3 linked regions of the Ovis aries genome follow. The protein of the gene in region 2 interacts with the protein of the main gene of each other region in a biochemical or structural test. Links are inferred from orthologs where the notes say so. Each region holds a gene or a part of one and is shown on either strand. Other genes may lie near its edges. The genes, in order: LRP2, GIPC1 and RGS19.

Evidence for each region.
Region 1: the proteins of GIPC1 (region 2) and LRP2 form a complex in vitro, tested with the Homo sapiens proteins (2 studies listed by BioGRID). The link is inferred for Ovis aries from reciprocal best matches to the Homo sapiens genes GIPC1 and LRP2.
Region 3: the proteins of GIPC1 (region 2) and RGS19 form a complex in vitro, tested with the Homo sapiens proteins (2 studies listed by BioGRID). The link is inferred for Ovis aries from reciprocal best matches to the Homo sapiens genes GIPC1 and RGS19.

The regions. Positions count from the first base shown.
Region 1 is NC_056055.1:140,232,194-140,235,842, reverse strand, and holds part of LRP2 (low-density lipoprotein receptor-related protein 2), read right to left. Parts: coding exon 3,516-3,649; intron 2,880-3,515; coding exon 2,584-2,879; intron 946-2,583; coding exon 429-945; intron 1-428. UniProt on the Homo sapiens protein: Multiligand endocytic receptor. Acts together with CUBN to mediate endocytosis of high-density lipoproteins. Mediates receptor-mediated uptake of polybasic drugs such as aprotinin, aminoglycosides and polymyxin B.
Region 2 is NC_056058.1:9,615,368-9,618,143, reverse strand, and holds the end of GIPC1 (PDZ domain-containing protein GIPC1), read right to left. Parts: intron 2,054-2,776; coding exon 1,941-2,053; intron 1,613-1,940; coding exon 1,531-1,612; intron 1,388-1,530; coding exon 1,236-1,387; 3' UTR 539-1,235; downstream 1-538. UniProt on the Homo sapiens protein: May be involved in G protein-linked signaling.
Region 3 is NC_056066.1:53,500,212-53,503,997, reverse strand, and holds the end of RGS19 (regulator of G-protein signaling 19), read right to left. Parts: intron 3,509-3,786; 5' UTR 3,432-3,508; coding exon 3,402-3,431; intron 3,195-3,401; coding exon 3,073-3,194; intron 1,827-3,072; coding exon 1,752-1,826; intron 1,674-1,751; coding exon 1,433-1,673; intron 1,360-1,432; coding exon 1,168-1,359; 3' UTR 564-1,167; downstream 1-563. UniProt on the Homo sapiens protein: Inhibits signal transduction by increasing the GTPase activity of G protein alpha subunits thereby driving them into their inactive GDP-bound form. Binds to G-alpha subfamily 1 members, with the order G(i)a3 > G(i)a1 > G(o)a >> G(z)a/G(i)a2.

The sequences.
Region 1 (3,649 bases), on a different chromosome or scaffold from region 2:
TAAGTAGCCTGTGAATTCCAGGAAAGCAGGGGCTGTGTCTGTCTTGTTTACCTCCAAACCCCAGTCCCTAGAATAGCATCGCACTTAGGCAACAGCTTTAAATGACTGAACCAACCAAAGCATGAATCATCCCTTCACATACCTCCAGTAATAACAGAGCTCTTTCTTCCTTTGTGATGTGCCCCCCCATAAAATTCATACCATAAATTCTTAAAAGTCACTAGATTTTAGATTTTGTGGTATCCCATTTGATTATTAGGTACACACCAGAAAACAGCAACAACAAAAACAAACCATGCCGAAGCATTAAAGTGTTTCTACCTGGCAACCCAAGTGGGAAAGATCAATTCCCTATTAAGATGAAAGCCTGGCTAGAACACTTTTTCAGAAACAAAAACTTGTTAACTTTTAAATAGCTTTTTTCTTACCTGGTAACCCAGTCGACAGCCAGACTTTCCGCACCTGGTAGATTGTGCTTTAGGACTGTCTCCCTGTTTGTCTTATTCACAAACATTCTCTCAATGACTTTATTCTCTATATCAAGCCAGTACAATCTCTTTTCTACTCGGTCAAAATCCAATGCCACAACATTACCCAATCCTTGCAAGATGAGGGAGTATAAATTGTCATAGATAGTTAGATTTCTCAAATAGTAACGGTTGCTAAAAATGAGATCAGGCTCGATGTTGCTGTTCTGCCGACAGGTCTTTCCATCTGGCTCACGGATGTAGCCTGGGGCACATTTGCAGATGTAAGTGCCAGGTAAGTTCTCACACTTTTGGCTACAGATGAAGGGCGTCTCCTTGCATTCATCAATATCAACACAAGTCCTCTTGTCAGACAACAGCTTGTAACCAGGGTTACAAGAACAATAGAAACTGGTTAAGGTGTCTGTGCAGTTTTGGTTACAACCACTGAGCGTAGGGTCATTGCACTCATTAATGCCTGTAAGGTAAAAGACAGTTATCAGAGAACCTAAGTTGTCAGTAATGGACCCACCATAATGGTCAAAAAAGTCAGCCTTCCCGCTGGACAGATGCAGTTCTTTTTTTTGGTTGGGTTTGGACCGAGCCAAGTTCTTAAGCAACAGTTAGAACTGGACATGGAACAACAGACTGGTTCCAAACAGGAAAAGGAGTAGGTCAAGGCTGTATATTGTCACTCTGCTTATTTAACTTCTATGCAGAGTACATCATGAGAAACGGTGGACTGGAAGAAGCACAAGCTGGAATCAAGATTGCTCGGAGAAATATCAATAACCTCACATATGCAGATGACACCACCCTTATGGCAGAAAGTGAAGAGGAACTAAAAAGCCTCTTGGTGAAAGTGAAAGTGGAGAGTGAAAAAGTTGGCCTAAAGCTCAACATTCAGAAAACGAAGATCATGGCATCTGGTCCCATCACTTCATGGCAAATAGATGGGGAAACAGTGTCAGACTATTTTTGGGCTCCAAAATCACTGTAGATGGTGACTGCACCCATGAAATTAAAAGATGCTTACTCCTTGGAAGAAAAGTTATGACCAACCTAGATAGCATATTCAAAAGCAGAGACATTACTTTGCCAACAAAGGTCCGTCTAGTCAAGGCTATGGTTGGTTTTTCCTGTGGTCATGTTGGATGTGAGAGTTGGACTGTGAAGAAGGCTGAGTGCTGAAGAATTGATGCGTTCGAACTGTGGTGTTAAGAGAAGACTCTTGAGAGTCCCTTGGACTGCAAGGAGATCCAACCAGTCCATTCTGAAGGAGATCAGCCCTGGGATTTCTTTGGAAGGATGATGCTAAAGCTGAAACTCCAGTACTGTGGCCACCTCAGGCGAAGAGTTGACTCATTGGAAAACACTCTGATGCTGGGAGAGATTGGGGGCAGGAGGAGAAGGGGACGACAGAGGATGAGATGGCTGGATGGCATCACGGACTCGATGGACGTGAGTCTGAGTGAACTCTGGGAGTTGGTGATGGCCAGGGAGGCCTGGTGTGCTGCGATTCATGGGGTCGCAAAGAGTCGGACACGACTGAGCAACTGAACTGAACTGAACTGAAGTTCTTAATGAATCATGCTAAAAAAGACAAATAAACAGGGACATAAAAAGGGATTTCTAAAGGCCCTACATTATTCAAAAGTCACTCTTACTCAACTTCCTTCCTGGATCCTTCACCAATAGTTTTAACAACTAGTACAACCAGGGTGGGGTTAGGGGCACGGTGGGAGGGGGACTTCCAGTTAAACCTTCCCCTTTAGTCACCTCAGGATGAAAATTAAGAACAGATTAAGGAATGTAGGAGGGGCAGTTAAAGCAACAAGTCATTGCATGATCACCACTGTCTGCTCTTAGATAGATGGCCTTAATTTGTTTATCTCCTATTCTCTACAATGAATGACTAACTGATGATTAGTCGAAAAATGTGTGTGACCGACCTTATAGACCAAGAAATCCTTGCTTCTTCATAGACAAACAGCAGTAATTTTCTGGCAGTGTGCTACTTAGAGAACCAACTGAAAGGTCCTACTAAGTCAGAAAGGGTTGAGAATCCACGTTCAGTCCCCCCATTTCCTTTTCCCTAATTTTCCATTATACTCACCACATCCTTTCTCATCACTGCTGTCTAAGCAGTCAGGGAAGTGGTTACAGACTTTCACCATCTCAATGCAGTTCCCATTGTCACACCTGAACTGATGAGGGGGACATGTGGTCTCTGGGGTGTGACAGAGGTGCTCCAGCTCATCAGAGTTATCTCTACAGTCATTGTCCCCATCACAGACATAGGCCTTATTAATGCAGAGTCCGTTCTGACACGTAAAAAGGGTCTCGCCGCAGGTAGGGTACACACAGCCCCTCTCATCACTGTAGTCACCACAGTCATTGTTCCGGTCACACCTGTGTCATGAGACCCAGTACCACTTAAAATCAGAATATTTCAGGTGAAAATCCAGATCCCCAGTTTCTCTCCAAACACATGATGCTGACTGGTGTCTGTGTCTCTTAGCTGGAGCACACACCCACAGTGTACCTCACCTGCCTCTCTCTGTTGTCAGGCTGACCCTGAGCCACAGCATGCAGCCCCATTTATCATCCTGCTCACTGGTACTTTTCTTATAGCAGAAAGAATTGAATGAAGTATTTCTTACGCCCATGCCTCTATTCCAGGTGGCAAACCCTGAGCGTCAGCTGCCTCAAGAAAGAATTTTCTTCTACTAAGCCCACTTCACTCATCTCTCTGATCTTCTGTGCAAGGTCACGTTATGACCTTCATGGACCCCAGGCACTTCTGTTTTCATGGGCCCCTTCCTCCATAAAAATATTTAAAATTATATTTAAGGACTACGTTGGTATAAAGCCATATATATTATTATTTAGTATGTAAATATTTTCTTTGAAGTTCTCTTTATTTTTTTTCTTTTGATTTTAAAAGAAGTCCAAACATTTTCAGAGGCCATGAAAAGTATCATGGGCCCCAGCCCTGCCTCATGGACATTTAAGGTTTGTTAATAAGTTTTTTAATCCCCAATTCACCTGAAGTGGTTGGGGATACACAAGCCATTGTTACAGACGAACTCTGTTCCAAAGCAGGATCTCCTGGTGCAATTCTGGTGCTCATCAGAGGCATCAAGGCAATCCGCTTCACCATCACAAATCCATGATTCAGG
Region 2 (2,776 bases):
CACCCCATCTTTCTTTCTCCATGCCTTCTGGCCCAGACAGCAAAGAATCTGCCTACAATGCAGAAGACTGGGGTTCGATCCCTGGGTCGGCAACCCACTCCAGTATCCCTGCCTGGGGAATTCCATGGGCAGAAGAGCCTGGCAGGATATACAGTCCACGGGGTCGCAACGAGTCAGACAGGACTGAGCGAGTAACGCTTTCACTTTCTGGCCTGGGGGCTCTCCGGGCCACTGGGTCAGAACAGACAAGGGCCCACTGCCTCTTGCCCACTGTTCACATCAGGCCAGAGGGTGGCGGGAAGCTTTGTTCGAAAGGGAGCAAGATTTGCACCCTGAGTAGACGAAGAAGCTCCGGCCTTGCCTGGAAGCCTGGTGGCTTGCAGCCAAGAGCCTCATCAGGCGGACCGGGTGGGAGGGGGCGGGTGGCTGGGGCCAGCTCTTAATTCAATTTGGAGCCCGAAGAGGATGGATTTCAGCTGCTACATTCTTTCCCAGCCCTGACCCACCCTCCTCTCCCACCCCGAAGCCAACACACAGATCCAACAGCAGATAGATTCTTTATGTTCCAGACAGCAAATTCAGGTACAAAAGCCCACCACCATCATCCCTCCCTCCTGCCCCTTCAGTCTGGGGCTGAGCTGAGGGAGACACGAGCGGGGCTGGGGAGGGAGGGAGTTTGGGGGGGTTTCACAGCAGACTAGTGTTTCAAATGCGGAGGTAACAGACTCCACAGTGAGGGGGCTCCTCTGGGGAGATGGGGGGGGGGTGGTGGAAGAGGAGGGCATTATTGCATTTGCTGAGGGGGGGGACACACCCCCCTCCTGCATTCCCTGCATCAGGAAACTAGGGAGGTCACGACCCCCAAACAGAACCCGAGGCCCCAGGGAGATAGGAGGGACCAGTTTGGCAGCTGAGGCGGAAAGTATTGGGGGCAGGGAGGTGGGGGTGGCCACCCAATCTGGCTGGTCCCTCTCCACCGCTGTGCCTGACCCTGGCTGAGGTAGGTGGGGAGGAGGGCGGGGGTGGGGGGCTGGGCGCCCCAGCCAGGCTGGGAACTGGCGAGGGGGTGGTACCGATTGGAGGAGGGGCAGAGGCCCAGCCCCACCTCCGCTCCGCATCATCTCCAGGCTACTGAGCTGGGCCAGAGCCAGACACTGGGGTCCAGGCTACGGTGTCTCCGCCCCAGAGGCTCCCACCGGGCCTGGCCCAAGTCATCTCGAGGTCCAGCGGAAGGCCTAGTAGCGGCCAACCTTGGCGTCCCCGATGGCACCCCAGACGTCAAAGACAAACTCATCCGGGAAGGCGAAGTCACCCAGCCGTTCATCCAGGGCCTCAGCCAGCTCATCCGGGTTCCTTTTGTCCTTTCCGAGCTCCACCATGGTGGCCGCTGGAGGGGGAAGGACAGGGGAGCAGAATGGAGGCACAGATGACAGAGGGGCTCAGGGTAGACTTGGCCCCCCAGGACCTGCAAGCCCCTTTCTCCCACACTCCCACCCATCCCCAGACCCTGATGACCCCCTCCTCACTTACCCAACTCTGTGTCCCTGATGCCCATGTAACTCTCTAACAGGTCATCCACCTTCTCAATGGCCTTCTCCTCAAAGGCTGAAGGCTGGGGGCGGAAAGAGGGAAGACGACATTATAATAATGTGAATATACCTGTAATTATACTGAACGCTGAGTGCAAATTTTTTTTTACACCACTTTTGGTATAGAAACCCACGGTTCTTCCTCATGACAACCCCAAAAGTTTCACAGATTAGGAAACTGAGGTCCACTTGCCTAAGGAAGGTCCCAGAGCTGGGAGGTGGCAGAGGTGGATGGACATCCAGTGCCCAGAGGCCCTCAGCTAAGAGTGATGCTGCCACCTATGAATTTCACAGGAAAGTGGTGGTGGGGGGTGGAGCGGGGAGGGACTTAGGCTCGGCTGGCACACTCACCAGATCCTCTACTGTGGCTGGACCCCGGGATCGGAGCCGGAGGGTCCCTCGGCCAGTACCCAGCTGGGGACCGGAGCCAGGGCGGCCACCCCCTGAACGCACGCTGATCATGTCTGTGGGAGATAGGGGGATGGGGTGAGGACTGGAGAAGCCCAGTTCCAGCATGTTCTGGGCAGAAACCCAGACATCCCGGCCTCAGCCCACCCTCCACCTTCTCCAAGCTTCTGTAGGCTTTGGGGGCACTGGGGGTGGAGGTGACCCCAGGAGGGCAGGTCTCCTGACTCTGGCTTGGCGGGGTGTAGGAGGCACAGCCAGGGGCTAGGATTGGAAAAGGGCTGGGAGGCTGGAGGGGACCACTCCTGTTCCCAGGGCCGGAGGGACAGGAAGGGGATGGGTCCTGGGTCTCTATCTACTTTCCCCAAGGCCAAGGGGGTTTAGCTGCTGGGCAGCAGACCAACCCTATCTGCCTGGGGAAGTGTTTTAGACCAACCCTATCTGCCTGGGGAAGTGTTTTAGAGTCCCCCTCCCCCACGCCAGGGACCTTGAGCCCATTCCGGAGAGTTAATGAAGCTGGACAAAAAAGTAGGGGGCCTGGCACAGGGCAGCCAAGCCTGGCTTCTTGGGGCTAGGGGGTTGGCCAGGTTGGGGGCGCTTGGCTAGGCTAATGGCTCCTGGAAGCTGGGTGTGGGGGCAACTTCCTCCTTGCCTCCATCCTCCACCTGAGCTGGGCAGAGAGCCAACACCCTCTCCCAGCAGAAGGGTGGGGCTGCCCCACCCCCTTTCCCACCCGTTACCACCAGCTGGGCTTGGGCACCACCTGCTGGTGGCCTTTGGTA
Region 3 (3,786 bases), on a different chromosome or scaffold from region 2:
GGGTCTCAGGATCTCTCCAGGTACTGCAGCTCAGGGTCCAGGGATCATGCAGGGAGGTGAAATCTGGGCCCACAGCTGTGTTTGCCTGCAACCCTTCAGGATGCCCCTGCCCCACTGCTTGTGGAGGCAGTGTGGATGGGGGTGGACCCCTGATGACGGTCCTGGGTCCCGGTGCAGCTCTGAGTTGCTTTACCAACTGGAAATTGAGGGATCAGAGTGGCAAGCCTGTGCCTTGTGAGGCCTCTGACACAGTATAGGTGCCACTGCATGGCACCCAGGTTCTCAGAGAGGTCACCTTGTCAGTGTCCTGCCCCAGCTGGCCCAGCCTCTGGAGACAATCTTTGATACCTGCCAGGGACCCTGCCTGCGGAGGACCTGGCCAGTACCTCTTGTGTTGCCAGCTTTGATGGCAAGGTGCCTTGGGGGCTGCACTTGCCTGATCACAGGCCCTCAAATGGGGAGGGCTGAGCACCTGGTCCCTGCACTGGGCAGGGCTGCTCCCCTGCTGGGGGTCCCAGACAACTCCTCATCCTCTCAGAGAGGAAAGACTTTTCCTTTAAAAATATCTTCAATAAGATTCTATTTTGGGAGTAAGAGGAGCAGAGTTAAATATGAAAACATTTTCTTTTTTTGATAAGACACACAGTGCCATATTTCCTGGTTTAAACTCAATGATCATATAAAAGAGAAATCAGGTCCTGCTGCCTTGAGCCTAGTTCTGAGGTCCTCAGTCTAATCCTGGGGTGCATACGGCACCAGGCAGAGGTCTCCTTGTATCACAGAACTAAACAGAAGGTCTGCTCTCCACGAAAGGGTTTCCCAGGGACCCTGTGAGATTTGTGGCTCCAGGATGCTTCCAGGGAGGGTACCTCCTTTCCCCACGTGCGAACCCGAGCAGGAGGGCTCCGTGGCCAGAGGCGGGGGGGTGGTTGATTCAAGAAAGGTCGCCTGGGCCCAGAGGCACTCACGCCTGCCTCTCAGCAGGACCCTGGAACACTGCGTCCCCCGGGTGGGGAAGGGGCCTCTGGCGCTGCACCTGCCACTCTTGCCTGGGACCACCCCTGGGTGCTGGGCCCGGTGGGTGTGCCTGACACCTGCTGAAGCTCTCTCCTGAAAGGAGTCTCTGCCGCGGGAGGCGTCCCACATCTGGGCAGCCACGTGGGCAGCCTAGGCCTCACTGGAGGACTGGGAGGCCCCCTGGAGCAGCAGGGTGCGGTAGGCGGGGGAGCTGAGGAAGCGGGGGTAGGAGTCTCGGTGCATCAGCGTGTAAATCTGCAGCTGTGCGTCATCGAACGTGTGCGCCGACGGCTCCTGCATCTTCTTGTTGATGCCCTCCCGCACCCGGGAGTCCAGGCTCACCTGCGGGACAGGGGCCACGGTCAGGGGCGTGGAAGCGCCCCCACCCTCCCACCCTGGGCCCGGCGCGGCACACCTCCTTGGGGGACAGGATGGACACGTAGTCCTCGTAGATGAGCCGGGCCTTCTCGTCCACCACATGCTGGTTGGCCTCGGCCTTGAGTTCCTCGCAGGCTAGCCAGAAGAGCATGTTCTCCTCGCTGTACTCCGTGCGCAGGAACTCCCGGAATACACTGCGACCCGCTGGGCTGTGCATCAGCTTGTCGAAGGACTGCGCCCAGCTCCGCACCTCTTCCGGGGTCGGCGTCGGCGTGGCGCTGCGGGGGGCATTTGGGCATCAGCCGGCTGCGTCAGGCTCCGCCCCCACCCGCGCAGAACCCCCGGGCCAGACTCACCAGACTTCGCAACTGGGGAGGGGCTGTAGCCTGCTCTCCCGGGAGGCTCGCCAGGCCCGCCGACGTTCTTCGTTCCTGCGGGCAGAGGGGAAGGTGGCACTGCCCTCCAGGCACACGTATGCATGCAGGACACTCCGCACACAGGTGTTAGAACGGGCAGGAGGCCTCGAGGTTCTCAACACACGGATGAACCCGTCGCAGGTGGGTCCGCTTTCCCAGCCTTTGGTCCTGCCCTGGGACATCTTCTTGCCTTCAGGGCTTCACAGGCCCCAGGTGTCTGCCTCCCTCCCTCCCTGGCCTGACCTAGACCCTCGCTGCTTTTTCCTACAGACCCCACTGATGTGGTGAAGGCCCAGCCTGTGTGTCTGACCCCTGACTCTCCCCAGGGGATCTGCTTCCCTCCTTAGCTCTGGGCGCAGCATCGGTGATGGCTTCCAAGTCCACACCTCCAGCCAGACCTCTCACCAGGGTCACTGACACGGTTAAGGACATCTGAGACTCAGGGTTTGGGCAGAACTCAGTTCCCTCCTTACCCCACCTTTTAGATGCGAACTCCTCTCCTGGTCCCTACAGGCAAAGGCTAAGCGGGTCCTAACAGTTCATGGCCTCCCATCCCTAACCCCAGGCAGTTTCTCTGTTTCAGGCCTGGGCTCAGGTCTCAGTTGTTCACTGGTCAGCTGATCCCCACTTGGGTCCCCTCAGCGCTGTCTACTCAACAGCCAAGGACTGAGAACCTGCAAAGGGCCATATGCCTCTGCAATGTACAAAACCGCCAACAGGTTCCCTATGTGCCTAGAAACTAGTTCACCCCCCGAGGCCCAGTGCCTTCCCCCACCCACCAACTGTCCCAGGGCCAGGTCTCTGCTCAAAGCCCCTCCACCTGATGCTGTCTGTAGGACCTGCTTTTGTCTTGTTCTGTTTTAGTTCCCAGGGCCAGTCTGGGCGAGCTTACAGAGACAAGACAGACATACACACCACCCTAGCTTACAGCAGAGATGCACACACATGTGCACGCTAGGTGCCTGCATGTTGCAGTAGACACACACACACCCCTAGTTTAAGTAGACACACATACACAGCTAGCTTACAGTAGATACACACACACACACATGCTTGCACGCCAGGTGCCTGTATGTGGATACCACCTGCACTGACCACTAGTCACCAAGCCCCTGGATAAGTACTGTGGGTGGCAGGGGTACCCTACTTGGAGGTGATGCCTCAAAAGCCTCCTAAGGGCTAAGGACCAGGGTCCTGGATCCTAGGTCTGCTCAGTGTCCACTCCCCACCAGGCATATCAAGCATCCCCAGGCCCACGTACCAAGAGCAGCTGCAACAACAGCACCAGCACAAGCAGCAGGGGTTTCGCCTGGGGGGAGCCGAGGGGGCCGCATCATGACTGGACATCGAGGGGGGCTGGTCCGCCTCCTCTGGCCCTGTTTGCTGGGGGAAGACAGGGCTGCCTCAGCCTCCAGGCAAAGCCCATGGTTACCACCCGCTTTCCAGCCCCAACTGCCCACCGGAGGCCATGCTCCCTCCCAGGGCTATGACCCTTGTGGCCTCCCAGATGTCCATGGGTCTCTGAACTCCTAGTCATGCCCTTAGCCCCCCACCCCCCAAGGGGCAGCGGCCAGGGTGGAGGCAGCCCACCTGCTTCTCAGCCTCAGGTGGGGTGGGCATGGATGGGTGGAGGAGGTTGCCAGGGCTCCGTGGTGCCTATTCCAGGACACCTGTTTCTGTCACCACAGCCTGGGGGTCTGAGAAGAGAGGCCGGGGTTCTCACTGAGAACCTTACACCCGCCCTGGCCGGCACCCTGCCAGGCATTCTGAGTCTCTCCCTACCTGCCTCCCTGGCCTCCCACCTCCACGGACTCTCCTCCGCCTCCCACCTCCCACCTCTAGACTACTCTGCCCAGGCCCAACCCCCACTCTAGTCTACACAGAAGATGTGAGGGGATGGGGATCAGGAAGGAGGAGACCCCAGACAAGCTCTCCACAGGAGGTTCTGGGACACCCCCATCTGCTCCCTCCCTGG